Linked DNA regions of Arabidopsis thaliana. The protein of the gene in region 1 interacts with the protein of each later gene in a biochemical or structural test. Each region holds a gene or a part of one and is shown in the gene's direction. Other genes may lie near its edges.

The links.
Region 2: the proteins of EBP (region 1) and TGA4 form a complex in vitro, tested with the Arabidopsis thaliana proteins (one study listed by BioGRID).
Region 3: the proteins of EBP (region 1) and ACBP4 form a complex in vitro, tested with the Arabidopsis thaliana proteins (one study listed by BioGRID).

The regions. Positions count from the first base shown.
Region 1 is NC_003074.8:5,703,644-5,707,589, forward strand, and holds EBP (ethylene-responsive element binding protein), read left to right. Parts: upstream 1-1,897; 5' UTR 1,898-2,140; coding exon 2,141-2,300; intron 2,301-2,538; coding exon 2,539-3,125; 3' UTR 3,126-3,441; downstream 3,442-3,946. Other genes in the region: AT3G16760 (Tetratricopeptide repeat (TPR)-like superfamily protein), read left to right, coding at 1-823, 1,264-1,437.
Region 2 is NC_003076.8:3,138,164-3,145,879, reverse strand, and holds the start of TGA4 (TGACG motif-binding factor 4), read left to right. Parts: upstream 1-1,626; 5' UTR 1,627-1,668; exon of another isoform or gene 1,669-1,680; intron 1,681-1,722; exon of another isoform or gene 1,723-1,893; coding exon of another isoform or gene 1,894-2,157; intron 2,158-5,370; exon of another isoform or gene 5,371-6,541; 5' UTR 6,542-6,584; coding exon 6,585-6,743; intron 6,744-6,816; coding exon 6,817-6,897; intron 6,898-6,973; coding exon 6,974-7,033; intron 7,034-7,111; coding exon 7,112-7,189; intron 7,190-7,258; coding exon 7,259-7,322; intron 7,323-7,402; coding exon 7,403-7,674; intron 7,675-7,716. Other genes in the region: AT5G10050 (NAD(P)-binding Rossmann-fold superfamily protein), read right to left, coding at 237-576, 917-1,076, 1,287-1,626; AT5G10040 (uncharacterized protein), read right to left, coding at 1,894-2,157.
Region 3 is NC_003074.8:1,559,718-1,567,779, forward strand, and holds ACBP4 (acyl-CoA binding protein 4), read left to right. Parts: upstream 1-1,953; 5' UTR 1,954-2,162; coding exon 2,163-2,321; intron 2,322-2,851; coding exon 2,852-2,922; intron 2,923-3,353; coding exon 3,354-3,417; intron 3,418-3,509; coding exon 3,510-3,581; intron 3,582-3,694; coding exon 3,695-3,889; intron 3,890-3,990; coding exon 3,991-4,068; intron 4,069-4,190; coding exon 4,191-4,301; intron 4,302-4,489; coding exon 4,490-4,556; intron 4,557-4,659; coding exon 4,660-4,721; intron 4,722-4,978; coding exon 4,979-5,118; intron 5,119-5,294; coding exon 5,295-5,421; intron 5,422-5,500; coding exon 5,501-5,615; intron 5,616-5,752; coding exon 5,753-5,841; intron 5,842-5,981; coding exon 5,982-6,065; intron 6,066-6,147; coding exon 6,148-6,330; intron 6,331-6,519; coding exon 6,520-6,666; intron 6,667-6,838; coding exon 6,839-6,898; intron 6,899-7,144; coding exon 7,145-7,330; 3' UTR 7,331-7,619; downstream 7,620-8,062. Other genes in the region: AT3G05410 (Photosystem II reaction center PsbP family protein), read left to right, coding at 1,427-1,739; AT3G05425 (uncharacterized protein), read left to right, coding at 7,757-7,888; AT3G05430 (Tudor/PWWP/MBT superfamily protein), read left to right, coding at 8,028-8,062. UniProt on the Arabidopsis thaliana protein: Binds medium- and long-chain acyl-CoA esters with very high affinity. Can interact in vitro with oleoyl-CoA, barely with palmitoyl-CoA, but not with arachidonyl-CoA. May function as an intracellular carrier of acyl-CoA esters.

The DNA.
Region 1 (3,946 bases):
TTCTATGGGGAATTTGGGTGATTCGTTGCCTAAATCTGGTAATTCGATGAAAACTGGTGGTGGTATGGGTTATAGCAGTAATCCGAGTGGTTTTTCTGGTGGTTACACGAGCTCCGGTGGTTTTAATGCTAATCTTGGAGGTCCTTCAATGAAAAATATGGCTGGGGGCAATCTAAATGGGTCTGGTCTTCCTTCGAATAGTGATCCATTTGGTTCTTTGGTTGGTTTCGGATCAAAATCATCAGGAAGCAAACCAGGAAAGGTTAACAACAATGCACAGAATGATACTTTTGGGAATTTTCAAGGAGTGTCGAACCTTAACAGTGGCGGTTCTACGGGAACAACTACTCAAATCAACGACTTTGGGGGTTTCCAGGCTTCGAAATCAAACACATTCTCATCAGGAGGTAGCTTCAATGCTTCAAACGTTGATTTTGGTGTGCAACCAAGTGGTCCACAATCTTCGAGTGCAAACGATGATCCATTAGGAATGTTCTCTAATTCCAAACCCTCAGCTGCACCACCTACGCCACAGACCGAAGATTGGGGATTTGAAAGTTTTGACGGTGGGGCTGGTTCCACCACCGAGCTTGATGGTTTGCCACCGCCTCCACCGGGTGTATCAGCTACATCAGCTAAGAACAAGGGCATTGATAACCAGAGACAAGGTCAGTATGCTGATGCCATAAAGTGGCTCTCTTGGGCTGTGATTCTTATGGATAGAGCTGGTGATGAAGCTGGATCAGCCGAGGTTCTTTCAACAAGGGCTTCGTGTTACAAAGAAGTTGGAGAGTATAAGAAAGCTGTAGCCGACTGCACAAAGGTATGTTAAGAAAGGCACATTTTTCTTTGGATGCATCATGGACCATGGTTCATATCATTCTCATCTCAGATCCTTAGTTTACGAAGTCTCTAGTTGTATTGGAATCAGTTTAAGGACTCTTGATGAAATTGATACTGATAAGAGTTTTCAGGTATATGAAACTTGACAATATGAGATTTAGGTTCTTATGGAATCTTAAGATAGATTACGAGTTAGAAATACTGTGCACGTATAGAAAGTTTTAGTGTCTTGCTTTGTAGGAAAATATACCACAACTAAACAGTTCTTGGGATCGCGTCATCGTAGCTAGTTGATTGGTTGTTATGCTCCATAGATGGTTTCTTGTAGACTCAGAACAAAACCAACATCTTCGAAACTTGTTCTGATTGTCAGTTATGCTTCACAGATGTTTTTTGTTCACTTTGAAAACGTGATTGCAGGTACTTGATCACGACAAGAAGAATGTGACCATTCTGGTTCAACGAGCACTGTTATACGAGAGCATGGAGAAATACAAACTCGGAGCTGAAGACCTAAGGATGGTTCTAAAGATTGATCCCGGGAATAGAATCGCTAGAAGTACTGTTCACCGCCTAACCAAAATGGCTGGTTGATCCTTCATATATACGGATACTACTCAAAGAAAAAAAACAAAAAACCCTCAAATATCTATAATCCTTCACATTGCTTTGCTCAATACCGTTTCCTCTCTCATCCATGGACCATGCGTGTGTGTATTTTTTTTCTGAGATTTATTGGTTCGTCTATAATGCGGCAGCTTCTTGTAGTAAGTGGGTCATGAGTGTATTTTTTTGGATGGTGCATTTATATGTTGTTGATTTTCTTACACACTAATTTTTTTTGAGTTTATCATGAAATGTTTGATCATCGATGTCATATGAAATGCCAAAGATGACCGTAAATTTCGCATCGTAACTCGCAAAGATGAACCTTACTTTGAGACGCTGCCTGCGTGATGGACGTGAGACGCATAACGCATACTATTAAATTACCAGACGCTCGTGGACACAACACTTCAATACCGAAAACTAAACTAATCACATTGTGATACGTTTTGTATTCAGAGAGCCAAAAAAAGGCTTACAATTTTGTCGTTATGTGGATTAGCCTTCAATTTGTTGTAACCGTCATGTATCAAGGAACATAAAACTATTAGAATTATTATTCTAATATAAAGTAATTCATTTCACTCACACTTTATTACCATAAAACATTTATTTTGCGCCTATAAAGGCATTTCAGCTCCACCGTAGGAAACTTTCTCTTGAAAGAAACCCACAGCAACAAACAGAGAAAATGTGTGGCGGTGCTATTATTTCCGATTATGCCCCTCTCGTCACCAAGGCCAAGGGCCGTAAACTCACGGCTGAGGAACTCTGGTCAGAGCTCGATGCTTCCGCCGCCGACGACTTCTGGGGTTTCTATTCCACCTCCAAACTCCATCCCACCAACCAAGGTATGTACTCTCCTATTAATCATAAACAAAAATACAAAATCATTCAAAAACACAAACATATAGTTTTTTCTAACCTTTTTAGCAAAAAGGTAAAATAATATTTCTGGAACTTACGGAAGATGATAAAAAAAAAATATTTGTGGTTTTGGTAATGTAATTTATCAGGATTATTTAATTATCTGTGTGGGGTTAAAATTGTAAATTTTGAACTTTGGGGAATCCGGTGAAAATTTTGAAGTTAACGTGAAAGAGGAGGCAGTGAAGAAGGAGCAGGCAACAGAGCCGGGGAAACGGAGGAAGAGGAAGAATGTTTATAGAGGGATACGTAAGCGTCCATGGGGAAAATGGGCGGCTGAGATTCGAGATCCACGAAAAGGTGTTAGAGTTTGGCTTGGTACGTTCAACACGGCGGAGGAAGCTGCCATGGCTTATGATGTTGCGGCCAAGCAGATCCGTGGTGATAAAGCCAAGCTCAACTTCCCAGATCTGCACCATCCTCCTCCTCCTAATTATACTCCTCCGCCGTCATCGCCACGATCAACCGATCAGCCTCCGGCGAAGAAGGTCTGCGTTGTCTCTCAGAGTGAGAGCGAGTTAAGTCAGCCGAGTTTCCCGGTGGAGTGTATAGGATTTGGAAATGGGGACGAGTTTCAGAACCTGAGTTACGGATTTGAGCCGGATTATGATCTGAAACAGCAGATATCGAGCTTGGAATCGTTCCTTGAGCTGGACGGTAACACGGCGGAGCAACCGAGTCAGCTTGATGAGTCCGTTTCCGAGGTGGATATGTGGATGCTTGATGATGTCATTGCGTCGTATGAGTAAAAGAAAAAAAATAAGTTTAAAAAAAGTTAAATAAAGTCTGTAATATATATGTAACCGCCGTTACTTTTAAAAGGTTTTTACCGTCGCATTGGACTGCTGATGATGTCTGTTGTGTAATGTGTAGAATGTGACCAAATGGACGTTATATTACGGTTTGTGGTATTATTAGTTTCTTAGATGGAAAAACTTACATGTGTAAATAAGATTTGTAATGTAAGACGAAGTACTTATAACTTCTTAACTGTTTTGTGGTAGTCCTGATTCCTGAAACTAATGGGAATTAGTTTGTATATCAAACAGGGGTTCCTAACTTGTTATTATTAGGTTAGGTGGAATAATTCTAGGGTTTTTATTGACAAAAATTAACAAATAGTGGTTTTTATGGAAAAAGGTGATGGTACCAGTATAGTGGGAATACACAGAAGAATTTGCAGCCTTTCTCAATTCTTATACGTATAATTCTCGTATGTCTATGAAAAGGGTTATACGTATGATGATTTATGAGTAGTGAGTACATACATCTTTTTCACTACTTTACATGTAATATTTATGGAAAAGGTCTGATCCGTTTGCTCTATCGAGAATTGGAATTGTGAGATATCTTGATTTTAACAGTTTCAAGATTAATGAAGAACAAAAACAATGGCAACAACTTACAAATTAACATTCGGAAGAAAGAAAAAAACTTACAAGTGAGATCAAATTTGGATTTAGTATTTTAGATGTAAGTTACAAATATTTCATAAACTAATAATCTATTAAAAAAAAATTATTCATTGTATTTTACTTTATACCGTAACCTAAACAATAAAATACAAATT
Region 2 (7,716 bases), on another chromosome or scaffold:
GGTTGTAGAATCCTCACCTTTTCCCGTTACAGATATTTGTACCACAAGTTTCTACAACATAATGTAATAATTTCTCCTGTTCACTCTCTATCTCCTTCCTGTATGTATGTATACTTCTATACCTTAAGAACCGAACTGACTCAAACATGGAGACATAAGAGATTCAATTAACAATTTGAACAAAGCTTTTACATTCGTGTTTAAGGTACATTCTGTCTTAAACCCCAACCTGATTATCACTTCTTCATTAAAACCTGCTTCTGGAAAAAATCTTTGAGCCATAAGGGCATATGATACATGACTGCCATGAGGGTTGAATACCTGCCTGACGAGAACCAAGCGGGTGGATTCTTCTTCAGCACTGCGGCTACAGTGTCTCTGGCAAATGTTTCTGCAGGAGTTGGATTCATCCTCTGTGATATAAACGCCCTTTCTCTGATAGCTTCTTCATAAGGCTTGTATAGTTTCAGCTCAGGCATTTTGTTGAAAGTTGCCACAGCTGAGTTTGCTATGTTTGTTCTTATTCCTCCCGGGACAACATTGATGACATCAATCCCAAACGGACGAAGCTCCAACCTGACGTTAAGCAGGAAACATTACAAAACAATTGACAAACCAAAACCATCCGGTGCTGGATAATTTGAACAACTACACTTGTCATGAACATCAAGAATCATCAACCTAACCCAACATCAGACTTTAGTCCTCAGAAATAATGATACTCAAGTTTGATCACACCTTAAAAAAAGATTAGACCATTTCAACAATTTTTAGTTTACTACCATCAAATCTCCATTGACAGAACAAACAGAATATATATCAGCATGCGACATAGGAAGATTATTCAAACGACACAAATAGCGGCGTTTGATAAGTTAAAACAGTGGAACCAAATCTGAAAACGGTAAAAGCAAACCTCAGAGTATCGGTAAGAGCATGAATAGCAGCTTTGGTAGCTGTATAGACACCAGCCCATGGACCAGGTGCCATAACAGTGATACTTCCAACGTTGACAATCTTTCCCTTTTTCTTAGACACCATGTGTGGTACAACAGCTTGAGTCATCCTCATGGAACCTGCATTGAAAAATTCACTTCTTCAAAACTCTCCTAACAGCCCAAACGCAACACACATGATCAACACGTATTTGAGTTCCTTGAATGTCCACAGAATCAACATTTGAAATGGATTGTAAATTCCAATGATTCACTAATAAGCAAAAAAACCAGAACTGTTGAAGCTCCAATAAATGTAATAATTGAAACTAAAAATCAAATCTTTATTACCAAAAACATTGGTGTTGAATGTGTTTTCCATGGCGGAAATTGGAGTCTCCGCCAGAGGTCCAACGCACTGAACTCCGGCGTTATTAACAAGAACGTCGATCTTACCGAACTTATCAATAACCTCCGACAAAACCTTACTCACATTCTGGTCCGATTGCACATCAAGCTCCTTCACGAATAACCTCGAATCTTGCTCCAGATCCGTCATCGTACTCCGTGATCGACTCGTCGCCACCACTCGACATCCCTTCTCAGTGAACTCACGGGCCAGCGCGTGACCAATTCCTCCCTGAGAACATCCCGTAATTAGAACCACCGGACTCTCATCGCCACTCTCCATTTTAGAGTTCCGTGGAACAACAACAATGGAATTTTTTTTTTTGTGCAAACCAACAAATTTCAGAGATTAATTAATGCATCGGATTAGGCTTAATTACTACGATGATTTGTTTTTTCTTACTACGACACCGTTTCCATTAACTTACAAGAAACTGTACTTAAAAACTAACCCAAAAGAGTATAAAACCAAAGCTTGTAGAACTCGAAACTTAAAGCAACATGCCCTCTGGTGATTAGAGAAGCAAATGAAAGTAACATCATGCCTAAACTAGATTTCCAGCATGAGGTTCAAACGTGACTTATAGTACAAGGATGAAACATAGTTAAGCAGAAAAAAGCCACTAGAAACCGCCACAGCAAACTGAGATTTAGCTTCAAATTTCCTCATCAGACTTTCAATCTTCTTCTCCTCAATCCCAAACATCATCAACCACCCAACCTCCGCTGTATTCGATGCTTTCTCTGCCGTTGTATTCACCTTTTGGTTACATTCATCTGCCACTAATATTGCTATGTCCGCCGATGAATCCATTGTTGGATCTTCCTATATCAGTTGTCTGTCTCCAATTCTATGCCAAAGATACACGAAGCTATTTATACTGGCTTCAGTGTGCGGGTTTTGAATGAGGAATGTTCCACTTTCTTTTTATGTTAATCATATCACATTACTTTCTATTGGCTTTGATGGTTTCTTTAAAGAGAAAATTGGCTAGGTTGGTTTATTGATACCGTGTGTGCACCAATACTTGTTTTAGTTACAGACAATGGTTTTAAAAACCTCGATTAGTCGGCATTGTCCAAATAATATTATACTTTTTGTGAAATCATTTTATTCCTCATTATCGAAACCCAAATCTGTTCAAAACACTTTATTGGGCCATAAATTATTATTTCTCAATCTTATGTTACAAGCCCAATTTTATATAAACTTACTTACAGCCCATTTCTCGACATTTTCAGTTTTTGACAAAAAAACTTTTTGGTTTCAAATTAAATCTTTCTTCTCTTTGTGGGCTTTCAAAACTGATGGGGATGCTCTTACAACTCATGATTTTTTGTTTCGGGGGATCAGGAAATGATAGGTCTCGTTCCACGACGATTTTAATAATCTTCTTTTAGATTATCTATCTTTTACTTCAACCAAAATTACTATTAGACGAAAGATGTTGACCAGAATACGTATTTTATTTTTGATAAATATTCAGCTTTTATATAATATAGTAGAAGAAAAGAGTAAAGTAAAAGAAGAAGATAAAATGTAGTCAAAGGTAGGAACCAAAAGGAAAGAGAAGAAAAGGAAGTTAATCTTAACATGATGATAGTTCCCATTTTGTCTTGGGGATAATGTCGCAAAGACTTCCTCAATTTTCTTACTTTCTTCCTATTTTACGTTCTTTTTCTTTTGTTTCTAGAAAGACATATATCTTTATTTGATATATTATATTCATATGAAATTTAGAAAGAATGTAAGATATATATATATATATATATATAATGAGTATTTAGAAAGTAAGTTACTTCGATTAATTAATCAACTTGGCTATAAAAACTATTATGAGTCAAATGTACATATGAACAATCTACTCAATTGGCTACTTCACAAATCTATCTATTTGTTTCAAGAAAATCCTTGCAATGAAATTCATCGAATAAAAACATCATACCTTTACACCTATTTAGTGGATAAGTGTGATCTACTTCTACAGTTGCACTGCCTTCTTTTGTTCCTTTTCACGTCAAACACACTCACATTTGAGCATACATAAATAGAAACAACAATATCTCTAAAACATTACTTAAAAAACTTTCAAGTTTGCTTCGATTTACCTGGCATTCGTATCCTTTTTATCCCTTCGTCCAAAACATTTTTCCAAATGTCGAGTGGCTCGGGACCAAATCCCAAAACATTTTGTCATTCTTAACTTTTCAAATAATCTAAAAAGTTTTATGGGAAATTAAGGATTATCCGCCAACTACGGATTGTCTTGACTAGGTTCTTCCATATTATATAGTCAAAATTCGGAAAAAATCAAGCTTTTTCGAAAGATTTCCGGTGCCGAAAAAACAGTTGATAATTAAAGTCCATGTTTGTAAATTCGAATGACATTAAAAATGTATAACTTATCGTCTCAGCTTTTGCTTCAAAATGGGAACAATATTGAACCACACTACATTTAACTGGGTGTTAACACGCCAACATAAATCACTTTCATATAAAATGTTTTATCTTTGGTGTACTATTTATCGTTCACGAATGATTGGCTCTACGTTCAGGCACTCAATCATATATAGAATCCTTTCTATAATATTTTATAAATTAAACAAAACTAAAAGATAATATCTTTTAGAATGTAGAAGTCGAGTTAAATATTACAGGGTTCGTGAAAACTCAAAGATTGAATTCAAGACATGAATATTGTTAGCCAAAAATACAAATGAAAAAAGAAGAGTGACGACACCCACTCTTAGTGGCAAACCACTTTTTTTTAATAAGATAGCACTTGGGAAGAATTCCACAAATAGGTAAAAGCAAAGAGTTTGTGCGTCATGTCTCATTAATATCTTTTCGAATTTATTTATTTTCATTGTTAATGTTTTTTGTATTCTAATACTGTTAATACATTATTCATATTTTGAAAAAATTGTGTCGACATAGGACTCTTCCCTCAATGACGTCTTCATTCATAGCCTTCTTTCTTTTGTTTGCTAAATGACTTCACTCACAGCCCTTAATCATATGGAAAAGAAAAAATTATGTGTGAATATGTCAGGAAACTAATTACTGCCAGGCAAACAATGTAATACGTGAACAAGAATAATATACGTATGAATGTATGATAACATACTAAAGGAAAAGGGAAAGTTGGTTAGATACTGTTTACACGGAAAAATGCACCAAATCACATAAATTAGTTAGTATTCGTTGTGTTTAAAATAATTAGTAAAGAGGCAAGTGGATAGAAGTTGTGGTCACCCAACACAAATATGTCTCCGACTCCAATGCAAGTTGAAGAGCCAATCTGTTCTAAATCAAAAATAATTCAATATTTCTTTATCAGCTAAGTGATTCCTTCGCAAAGGTTCGTTTATCTTTTTCAGTATATAAATATTATCAAATAGTACAACAAGACGTATATGTGAATCTTTTTCGTTGGCATAACCTGGATATAAACTATACCTAAATGCAGGCCTGCCTAAATGTTGATATAATTTTATTATATAAGCGTTGCTTAGTAAGTTGAAAACTTTAAAGATTACATGCTTATCGGTCTCTTGTTTTGCTTATAGAGAAACCTCAATATTATTGTTCTCTTATATATATTGGGTAATCTTAACCCAATATTTGGTCAGCATGCTATAGAACTATCAAAACTAATGACTACGCGCATCTTATTTTTTTATTTTGACGTCAGGCTTGCGATTATGTCAAGTACTTTGTTTTGATTGATGTCTTATAAATCCCAACATAGAAGTTAGAAAGTTTAACCGCTTCTCTCATTCCCGCGACAAATCTTACCACAATAATATGATTTAGTAATTTACCCTCTTCCCACGCGCTACTAAGCCGCGCGTGTGCCGTCAATTGGCACGTCATCACCGACGAGACTCGCCGCAAACTTTGACGTGTGATGGATAATAAATATATCGTTGGAAAACTTAAAAGAGTATGAATTATTATTACTGAATAATTTTCCAATATACTTGGTGTGTAACATCAGCGAGGTAGTGGAGACATGACAAATGAGAGAAATACAGAATAACCAGAAACAAAATTAAATTAGTAATCGAATAAATTATGGACTTAAAGGTATCTTAAACATGTCAAAATTTGGTTTTTGACTGTGTAGCTGATGTATCTAGTACATATACTTAAAGGACAAATATCACCGAAGAATCAACAAACCAAAAAAAAAAACAGAAATAAATGTTAGTATATATATTTTTATTGACATTTATTAGGATATAGAAAAATTTAGAAAACTCAATCAAAGGTCTCTCTTTTAAAGTTGTCGTGTTCTCTCTTGAATGATTCTTCTTCTCCTTCTTCGAGATGACAAGTTCAGAGAACGAGATTTTACCATCCCTTATTCTATCAGACCGGTTTAAGCTGCAGATTTCTAGGCTTAGCGTTCGATTTCGTCGCTGAAAGTGAAAAGTTCATCTAGCTTTAGTTTTCTCTTTTCATGGTTTCCGCGGGAAAAGTTCGTCTTTTTTGAAGCCCTTTTGACACAAAAGACCAGAACAAGGTTCGACTTCGGATCTCTCTTCTTTCTGAATTTTCATCTCTTGGTTGATATGAATATCATTATCTCTGCTTGACTGCAAAAAAAGGTTCAAACTTTGTGTTTCTCTGTTTCATTCTCTTATTGAAGCTGTAACTTTTATTCTGATGGTTGCTTCTGATATACCATTTCATGATTTGCTATGTGATAATTTGGTTCTATATCTTATAATCGAATCTTGACTTTTATAACAAGAATGTTATATCAAATCACTGGGTGAGAGTAATGGATTTTTTTTCCTTATTGGGAGGTGTTTAAGATGGTCCACCATTAGTGGCTAAAAGAAGAAGATACAGTAGGAACCAATAACTGACAATGACATTAGAGTTTGGTCTGTTTTTGGAAATGCAATTAGAGGTTTTGAGAACAAAATTCAGTGACTTGTATCTATTTGACAACCTTTCAAAAGACACTAGTAAAAGAACAGGGCTTTTCGGGTGTATATGATGACTCCGATGTTTCGCCATATCAATGGAGCTTATAGATGTAGGGAAGGTAGTAGCTAGCGTTGACGAATTGGGTGATGGATAATGACTTAATGTCACAACCTTTGCTTTTGGCTGCAAATCACTTACATATCTCTTTAACTTGTGATCTTGTATCTTTTGCAATTCTTGACTTTGATGAATGAAGTTTTGTATTTTTTTTTTTTTGTTTTGTTGCTAGTTGAAGAAATATGAATACAACCTCGACACATTTTGTTCCACCGAGAAGGTTTGAAGTTTACGAGCCTCTCAACCAAATCGGTATGTGGGAAGAAAGTTTCAAGAACAATGGAGACATGTATACGCCTGGCTCTATCATAATCCCGACTAACGAAAAACCAGACAGCTTGGTACTTCAAAGTTTGCTATATATTTCAGATAAAGTGAATTCAGAAACTAATGCTTGCTTTAATCTTTGTTCAGTCAGAGGATACTTCTCATGGGACAGAAGGAACTCCTCACAAGTTTGACCAAGAGGCTTCCACATCTAGACATCCTGATAAGGTAAGTTATAATATAGCTCATTTGGTTATCTTAATTCCTTGAAGATTTTGTCATTTTAATCTTTATGTCTTCACAGATACAGAGAAGGCTAGCACAGAATCGAGAGGCAGCTAGGAAAAGTCGTTTGCGCAAGAAAGTATGAAACTTTATGTTCCTGCAACTCGTAAAACAGTTTTGTTTTCTTTAAACTGAGCTATAGAGTATTTTCTTGCAGGCTTATGTTCAGCAGCTAGAGACTAGCCGGTTAAAGCTAATTCATTTAGAGCAAGAACTCGATCGTGCTAGACAACAGGTTTGCACAAAATATTATTCTTCCTTAAGTATCTTGTTGATGTAATAATATATGATCATAATGTTGCAGGGTTTCTATGTGGGGAACGGAGTAGATACCAATGCTCTTAGTTTCTCAGATAACATGAGCTCAGGTTTGAGTCTTCTTTCACCTTTAGCGTTTAGGTAGTTTCCATTTGATTTTGAGATTCATCAGTTTTCTTTTTCTTGTTAGGGATTGTTGCATTTGAGATGGAATATGGACATTGGGTGGAAGAACAGAACAGGCAAATATGTGAACTAAGAACGGTTTTACATGGACAAGTTAGTGATATAGAGCTTCGTTCTCTAGTCGAGAATGCCATGAAACATTACTTTCAACTCTTCCGAATGAAGTCAGCCGCTGCAAAAATCGATGTTTTCTATGTCATGTCCGGAATGTGGAAAACTTCAGCAGAGCGGTTTTTCTTGTGGATAGGCGGATTTAGACCCTCAGAGCTTCTCAAGGTAATAGAAAAACCTGTCATTAATCCATAAATTGTAATGGTT
Region 3 (8,062 bases), 4.1 Mb from region 1:
CATGGTCAGCAACTCTCACTGTGGTAGCAGAAGCAGAAGGATCCGCTAAAACTTCACCTTCTTCTAGCTCACTTTCTATCACCAGCGCTGGAGGCTTGAGCTTACTCACACAAACATCCACTAGGTGACCCCACTTACTACAACAAGTGCATTTGGGAGGCAACCAGGGGTAAATAAACTCCACGATAACATCTTTTTCCTCCTCAATTTTGAACCTGTGACACTTTGGAACGTCTTGCGAAAGATTTACTTCAACAAAAACTTTAGCTTCATCAAACTTTGTGCATAATTCTGTTTCAGGATGTAACCGTATTGGATTTCCTACTGAACTTGTAATAAAACTCAAACCATCCCAGGAGAACATGGAATGAGGAACATTCTTCACTGTGACCCACAACGGCATTGTTTTAATCTCTGGCTGGGCTTCTTCTTTAATCGGAGACCACTTGGCAACAATCATTGGTAAACCAGCAATGTTCCACATCCCTCTTCTGACTATTCTCGAACGCGTGGCGGAGTCACGGATTCGAAACTTTACTGAAGTAGAGTCTATCTCATAGACGTCAATCTTAATTGCTTTGTCCCCAAGAGTCCAGATCTTATTGACTATGACATGGATCTTAGCGACATGCGGAGCTTGTGATGGGAACCGTCCCACCAGAAAATCATCCCAGAGAGGGACAGATTCAGTGATAACTTCTTTCGGAACTGCAATGGTTGGGACACCGTCTTGCACAGAGACTTCATATTCATCTTTTTTCAGAGAAGGCCGTTTAGTAACTACTGCTGCATAGGACTTTTGCTGGACAGATCCAGATGGAGAACCAACTGTTCCTGCCTCAGAAGAGACTGGTAAAACCTGGTCGGACATGAGAAACCGACGGCAAGCCGCCGCTGAAACCCTAGCTTGCTGAAAAAGAATGAAAACCCTAGTCGCCAAGAAAATCGCCCTAGAGCTGACGTGTCATTAAAAAAAAAAAACATCATTCTTATAGTAGAAACATTTGATTGTTCTGTGGTAACTGGTAACGACTAAGTGATATGGTTTACTAGATCTTGCAAACAAATCTAATTGATCATGAGAAAAAATTGTAAGACTAGATCGATTATTTTAGTGGTCTAACAACTAGTTTCAAAGTTGTAATTTTCAAGATTGTTTATTACATTTAGTACATGTTTGAAGTGAAACAATATATCTCAATGTAAGTACATGATTCTCTTTACTACTTTGAATCTATCACAGAAGTTAGTGCAGACACCCGATTCGCTATGATTGTTAAGATCATAAAGTGACCTAGATCGATGAGCATCAATGTTTTTTTTTTTCTTTTGCCAATAAGCATCAATGTTTTCTTGACGAGCAATTGTCATTTTATTTCAAGAAGCGGAATCTGTTTTATGAAAGTGTTTATTGTTTACGATATAGAATCGAAGCGTTTGGAGGGCCAAAAGAAGTAGGAGAGGCAATAGTAAGAACAGTGACAGGATCTGGTCAACGAGCAGATTTGAAAGGAACTTTGCTAGAATCAAGTATCAGACAAGATTCAGAGAGAAACTTGAAGTACTACGAGTTGGAGTTTAAAGTCGAATCACCTCTTTTCCGGCGGCATAATGTAGCCGTTTGTTGCGCTCACAGTGGCCGGCTTTATACACTGAACGCTCAAGCGCCAGAGTCAGCTTGGTCAGAGGTGAAATCGGAAATTTACACTACTGCGAAATCGTTCAATATAATTTCTTGAATGTAAAGGATCGGAAAACAAATTGTAAAAACCCAAAAAGAAACAAGATACTACAAAGCAAAGCTTATTTTTTCTTCATATTGATAGGGTCTCTTTGTTTTTCTTAATTAATTCACACTATTGAGTTGATTACGATGATTAAGGTCAAAAATACGAAGTGACAATAAAAAGAGAAAAGTTTCGAGCATAATCATGTCTTCTTGATCGTGCCGCTCGCTATATAAACACTGCACCAAGCAATTACTATAATTTTTGATCAATTAAATATTAAATTTTGAGAATATGTTTCTATATTAATGAAAATAATTTAAAGTAATCATAAGTTTGTATCTTTGAACAAACGAAACTAGAAAACGCCTATCTCTGCTCATTGGCTTCTCCATCTCCGATCAAATCCGCGGTCGTAGTCAGAGAGAGAGACAAATGGCTATGCCTAGGGCAACCTCTGGTCCCGCTTACCCGGAGAGGTTCTACGCTGCTGCATCTTATGTCGGTCTCGACGGATCTGATTCGTCGGCGAAAAACGTCATCTCGAAATTCCCCGATGATACTGCACTACTTCTCTATGCGCTATACCAGCAGGTCAGCAACTTCCATTTCTGATCTCTTCCATTGTTGATCTCACGATTGTGGATTTTGCTTTTGAATTTCACGAGATCTGGTCGTTTGGGTGTTGATTTCTTTGTTTTAGTCACCGATTCATATTCCTCTCGCCGAATTCTTATCGGATTTTAGAAATGACGCACTTTACTTGTCTGATTAGCTGTGCTTGATCGTTATTTTCGATCCTGGTTAGTATATTCGAAATGCTCAGTAAAATGTTACCCGAGATCTCATCACGATTTGATTGGAAACATGATTGAAACAGTTTTATTTTATTAGATCTCAGGGAGCGTTGGTCCGTCAGTCGTAGTTTACTTGGATCTACATTGATTCTATAACTTGATTAGTATAGTCGTAGATGAATTTCTTACGAGGGGGTGAAACTGGCTGTTCCTTAACATAGAGAGAAACGTTCTCTTGTACTAATTATAATGTCGAGTCTACTAGTTTTTATCCCTGGGATAGATAGGCTCAGTGCTGATGATCTCTTGGATTTAACATTGAAACAGGCTACTGTAGGACCATGCAACACTCCGAAACCTAGTGCCTGGAGACCAGTGGAGCAAAGCAAATGGAAAAGGTTAGATTGGGTGCTGTGTTTTGCCCATACTTATCTACGATTAACATTTATGCATTTATCACTGGTTCTTTTATTTCTATTCTTGCGTTTGTGAATCATACTTGTAGGAATATGCTTCATGGTAGATATTAATAGGAGATGTCTTAGATTTCATCAATTACTAGAGCGTAAGAATCCAAATGCATTAGGGAAACGGGAAAGGAGTACTTTAGTGTAAGCTACTAGAGGAAAATAGAAATGCAGGATTTGAATGTGCATCCCTGGGGAAAAAAACTAAGTGCTTACCTATGTTTTGGACCTTTTGGTCTACATTACTGAGGTTGTTAATGCTTACGATCCTTTTTAAAGGAAAATAAGACTTTAAAGTTGTCCTCGTTCCTTTCCTGAAAGATACACATGCTACTGTTCTGAAGCATTTCATATTTACTTAGTTGGCAGGGGCTCGGAACCATGCCCTCCATTGAGGCAATGCGTCTCTTTGTGAAAATTCTGGAGGTAACCGACAAAGAGGTCTATTTTTTTTTTTTTTTTAAAGACTTAACTGGAGCATAACCTTGCTTTCTTCTCTATTGCTCAATTTTTATCAGGAAGATGATCCTGGTTGGTATTCGAGGGCATCTAATGATATTCCAGATCCTGTTGTAGATGTCCAAATTAATGTAAGTTTTGGTATCCCATGGGATTCGATGTCCAAACCATGGGAACTATTACACATATCTTTTGCTTGATTGAAGAAAATTATTTGAGTTTTTTAGTGCATTCATCTTTGTAGCAGAGAGCAAAAGATGAGCCTGTTGTTGAGAATGGGAGCACATTTAGTGAGACAAAAACAATTTCTACGGAGAATGGACGTTTGGCTGAAACCCAAGATAAAGATGTAGTCTCAGAAGACTCAAATACTGTTTCTGTATATAACCAGTGGACTGCACCCCAAACATCAGGTCAGCGTCCAAAAGCTCGTTACGAGGTAATTTATTTTTTCTCTCTCTTTTGAAGAATAAGTAAAAGGTTATGTCATTCATGTATCTTCTGTATTTTTCTAAGTCTTGTTTATTATATTTTTTTCAGCATGGCGCAGCAGTTATTCAAGATAAGATGTATATATATGGTGGAAATCACAATGGCCGTTACCTTGGTGATCTTCATGTAAGCAACCTCTATGGTTTATAAGCATAAGCTCCTAATGTAATTGAGATATTCAGCTCCTAGCTTGACAATACCAGTCCCGGTGACAGTTCCTAAGCAAAGCTTCTGTGGAATGTATACAGGTTCTAGATTTAAAAAGTTGGACTTGGTCAAGAGTTGAAACCAAGGTTGCAACAGAATCTCAGGAAACATCAACTCCGACATTGTTAGCTCCTTGTGCTGGTCATTCTTTGGTAAGTTTATTAACTTTTTCGTTTTGTTTTTGTTATTATCGTTTTGCTTTCCTGCCCAGAAATATTCAGGAGAGGGGTTTCAGCTAAAGCAAAGTATTCTCTTCATGAAAGTCACTTGCTATATTAGTTTGTAATAAAGAAGACTCTAGCTATACATTATTCACTTACCTTCTTTGCTTGTTTTGTAGATAGCATGGGACAACAAGCTGCTGTCTATCGGTGGTCACACAAAGGATCCCTCAGAATCTATGCAAGGTTAGCGTTTATATACCTTTGAAGACGATAATTTGCACATATTTATAAGATTTTTCTGGAATCTCAATGATTACATATCACTTTCTACTGTTTCCTGTCACAGTGAAGGTCTTTGATCCCCATACCATTACATGGTCAATGTTAAAGACATATGGAAAACCACCGGTATATCTTCACTTCTCTCATGTTGTCTCATTTGCTTTCCTGTCACCTTTGTATGAAAATATTACAGTTTTATACAAAAAAAAATTTGGCCGTCAAAAGACAAAAAAATAAAAGTTGTTTTCTTTCCTTACCCTCCCATAATATCTTCAGGGTTAAGGTGCATCTAAATCCAGAATTTCTCCTTGCTAATTTGGAAGTCAAATATGCATTTTGGTTACTTAAATTTAGACTTTCTTATAATTATCTCTTGCTTTTAGGTTTCACGTGGAGGCCAGTCAGTTACAATGGTGGGTAAAACCTTGGTGATATTTGGCGGGCAAGATGCAAAGAGATCACTTCTGAACGATTTGCATATACTTGACCTAGACACGATGACCTGGGATGAGATAGATGCCGTGTAAGATTTTATGATGTTTCTGCATTTTGTTCTCTTTCGAAGAAGTCAAACCCATTTAAGATTAGATATATAACCAGAATATGAATATGTTAGAAATCGACCTCCTATCTCCTTTAGTATCTTAGTCGTTATTGAAAGATTAGCAATTCAGGATTTAAATTGGTGTCAAATTGCAGGGGTGTATCTCCATCTCCGAGGTCTGATCATGCTGCTGCAGTGCATGCAGAACGGTTCCTTCTTATCTTTGGTGGCGGCTCACATGCAACCTGTTTCGATGACCTGCATGTCCTTGATTTGCAAACTGTAAGTTAAGCTAAGAGTCTATTCTTTCAGCTGCTCTCAAACATGCTTTGTCAGCCTCTGATATAATTGTCACATATAGATGGAGTGGTCAAGACCAGCACAGCAAGGTGATGCACCAACTCCAAGAGCTGGACATGCTGGCGTGACAATTGGGGAGAACTGGTTTATTGTTGGTGGCGGTGATAACAAGAGTGGTATGTTAATGCACTTTTCCCTTGGAAATTTTCTCTTCCCAACCGTTCTGTTTATCACCCCCTAGAACAAAAGATATTTGCTTGGGTTTTTTTTTTTGTGTGTGTGGGGTGACTAATTTTGTGACAAATTACTGCAGGGGCATCGGAGAGTGTTGTACTAAACATGTCAACTCTTGCATGGTCGGTCGTTGCTTCAGTTCAAGGACGTGTACCTCTTGCTAGCGAGGTACTTAAATAAACAGACTTTATCCATATTAATTCCCAGATAGCTATACAAATAAACACGGTAGAAGCCTTTTCAAGACTTCGAAAAAAGTCAAGTCATGCTTATTTCATTTCCATCGTCCTTTCCTTTGCTACTGACAGGGATTAAGTTTAGTGGTGAGTTCATACAATGGTGAAGATGTACTAGTCGCTTTTGGTGGATACAATGGACGTTACAATAACGAAGTAGGGACTGTGATCTGAACCCATAAGTTCATTTCTCTTAATTTTTCATTTAGTTCTGCTTCTAATTCTTATCTGGCATTAGATTAATCTTCTTAAACCAAGCCACAAATCAACATTGCAAACAAAGACTCTGGAAGCGCCTTTGCCAGGTAGTCTTTCTGCTGTTAATAATGCCACAACCAGAGACATTGAGTCTGAGGTTGAGGTGAGCCAAGAAGGCAGGGTACGGGAAATTGTCATGGACAATGTTAACCCTGGATCAAAGGTATCTTCTTGTCAAATTTCCCTCCTTAATATATTTTGCATAGCACCACCTTTTGATTTGTTTGAGAGAATTGAAGCATCTTATGCATATATGCTGTGGTAGTGATTGTGTCGACACAGAATATAGTTACTCCAGTCCGGATCATCACCTTCTCGCACTCTTATTATGTTTTGGGTGATTAATCCCCAGGTTGAAGGAAACAGCGAACGCATTATTGCGACTATTAAATCTGAGAAGGAAGAGCTGGAGGCATCACTGAACAAAGAGAGGATGCAGACTCTCCAACTAAGGCAAGAGTTAGGAGAAGCAGAATTACGAAACACAGATTTGTACAAGGTACTAATATTATCACCTTCTTAAAACAGAAGCCGACATGAATAAATTGGTGAACCAATCGTTCATAAAGACTGGTTGCAGCAGTCTTCCAATTGCATTCACATTTAACATCTGAAATCTCGGAATTTTTCCTCGAATATGATATACCTAACTTTGTACTGACATTTTGTAGGAACTTCAATCTGTTCGTGGCCAACTTGCAGCCGAACAATCAAGGTGTTTCAAACTGGAGGTACTAAACCGTAGCCACATCTCTTTTGTACCATAACCTACAGAATTTGGAATCTCGTGAAACCCGTGATTTAATGACTACATATACTCATATTCCAGGATGAATAGGAATCTTGATTAGAACATTCATCCATTGTAACCACTGGATCTATCACATATCTTCTCTGTCATTTATTGATAAGCTTCATCACGTCATAAGAACAAAAACAAAGCAAATCTAATTGGGTCACTTTCTCCGAATCTGCAGGTTGATGTTGCAGAGCTAAGACAAAAGCTTCAAACATTGGAAACACTACAGAAGGAACTCGAACTCCTGCAACGTCAAAAGGCTGCCTCAGAACAAGCTGCAATGAACGCTAAACGACAGGGCTCGGGTGGCGTATGGGGCTGGCTCGCTGGAAGCCCTCAGGAAAAAGATGATGATTCGCCTTGATCATTTTTGGTCCGGTAATGCCATTTTCCTCCGGACGATATTTGCTTTCAGTAAAGAAATATATATAGTTTTTTTTGTCTGAGTCTCTCGCATTGTTTCTTCTTCCAATAAGATATTTTTTTAGCGAGCTTTGATTACTACCGATGTTTAGCTTTGTTCTCTGTTATACAAGTGATTCACCAGAATATTCGTTAACTTTTTTGAAATATTTGTTTTGGGAGTGTCTGACAAAATTATGAAAACTAAATCAGTTTACGATCAGCAATCATAATTTTCTTATATTTACGAGTCTCTTACTCTCTTCACTCTTTAGTCTTCGTTTGCATTAAAAATTAAATTAAATTTACCTCACTTCGTAAGTGGACAAAAAATCACGTTTTAGGCAGCAAAATAAAATAAAATAAAAAGATCACGTTTTTTTGTCCCATGACGTGGCAACCTATTACTGGATGGGAAGTTCGACCGTTCACCATCACCATTTATGACGCTGAGAAGTTACCAAAATGTCCTTCTCACCAAGTGATGCTTTTGTCATCTTCTCCAGCTTTACTCTCATGAAATTTCTTAAATTTTCTCTTCCAGCAAACAATCTCAGGATTTAAACAAAGTTACGCATCTTCTGGCTTCGAGTTGTTTCTAGGGTTTCATTGTTATGAAAGCTCTTTAACACCGAGGGTTCAAGTGTGGTTAGAGAGAAATGAATTCGGCTGAGGTGAATGTGAATCCTAGGGT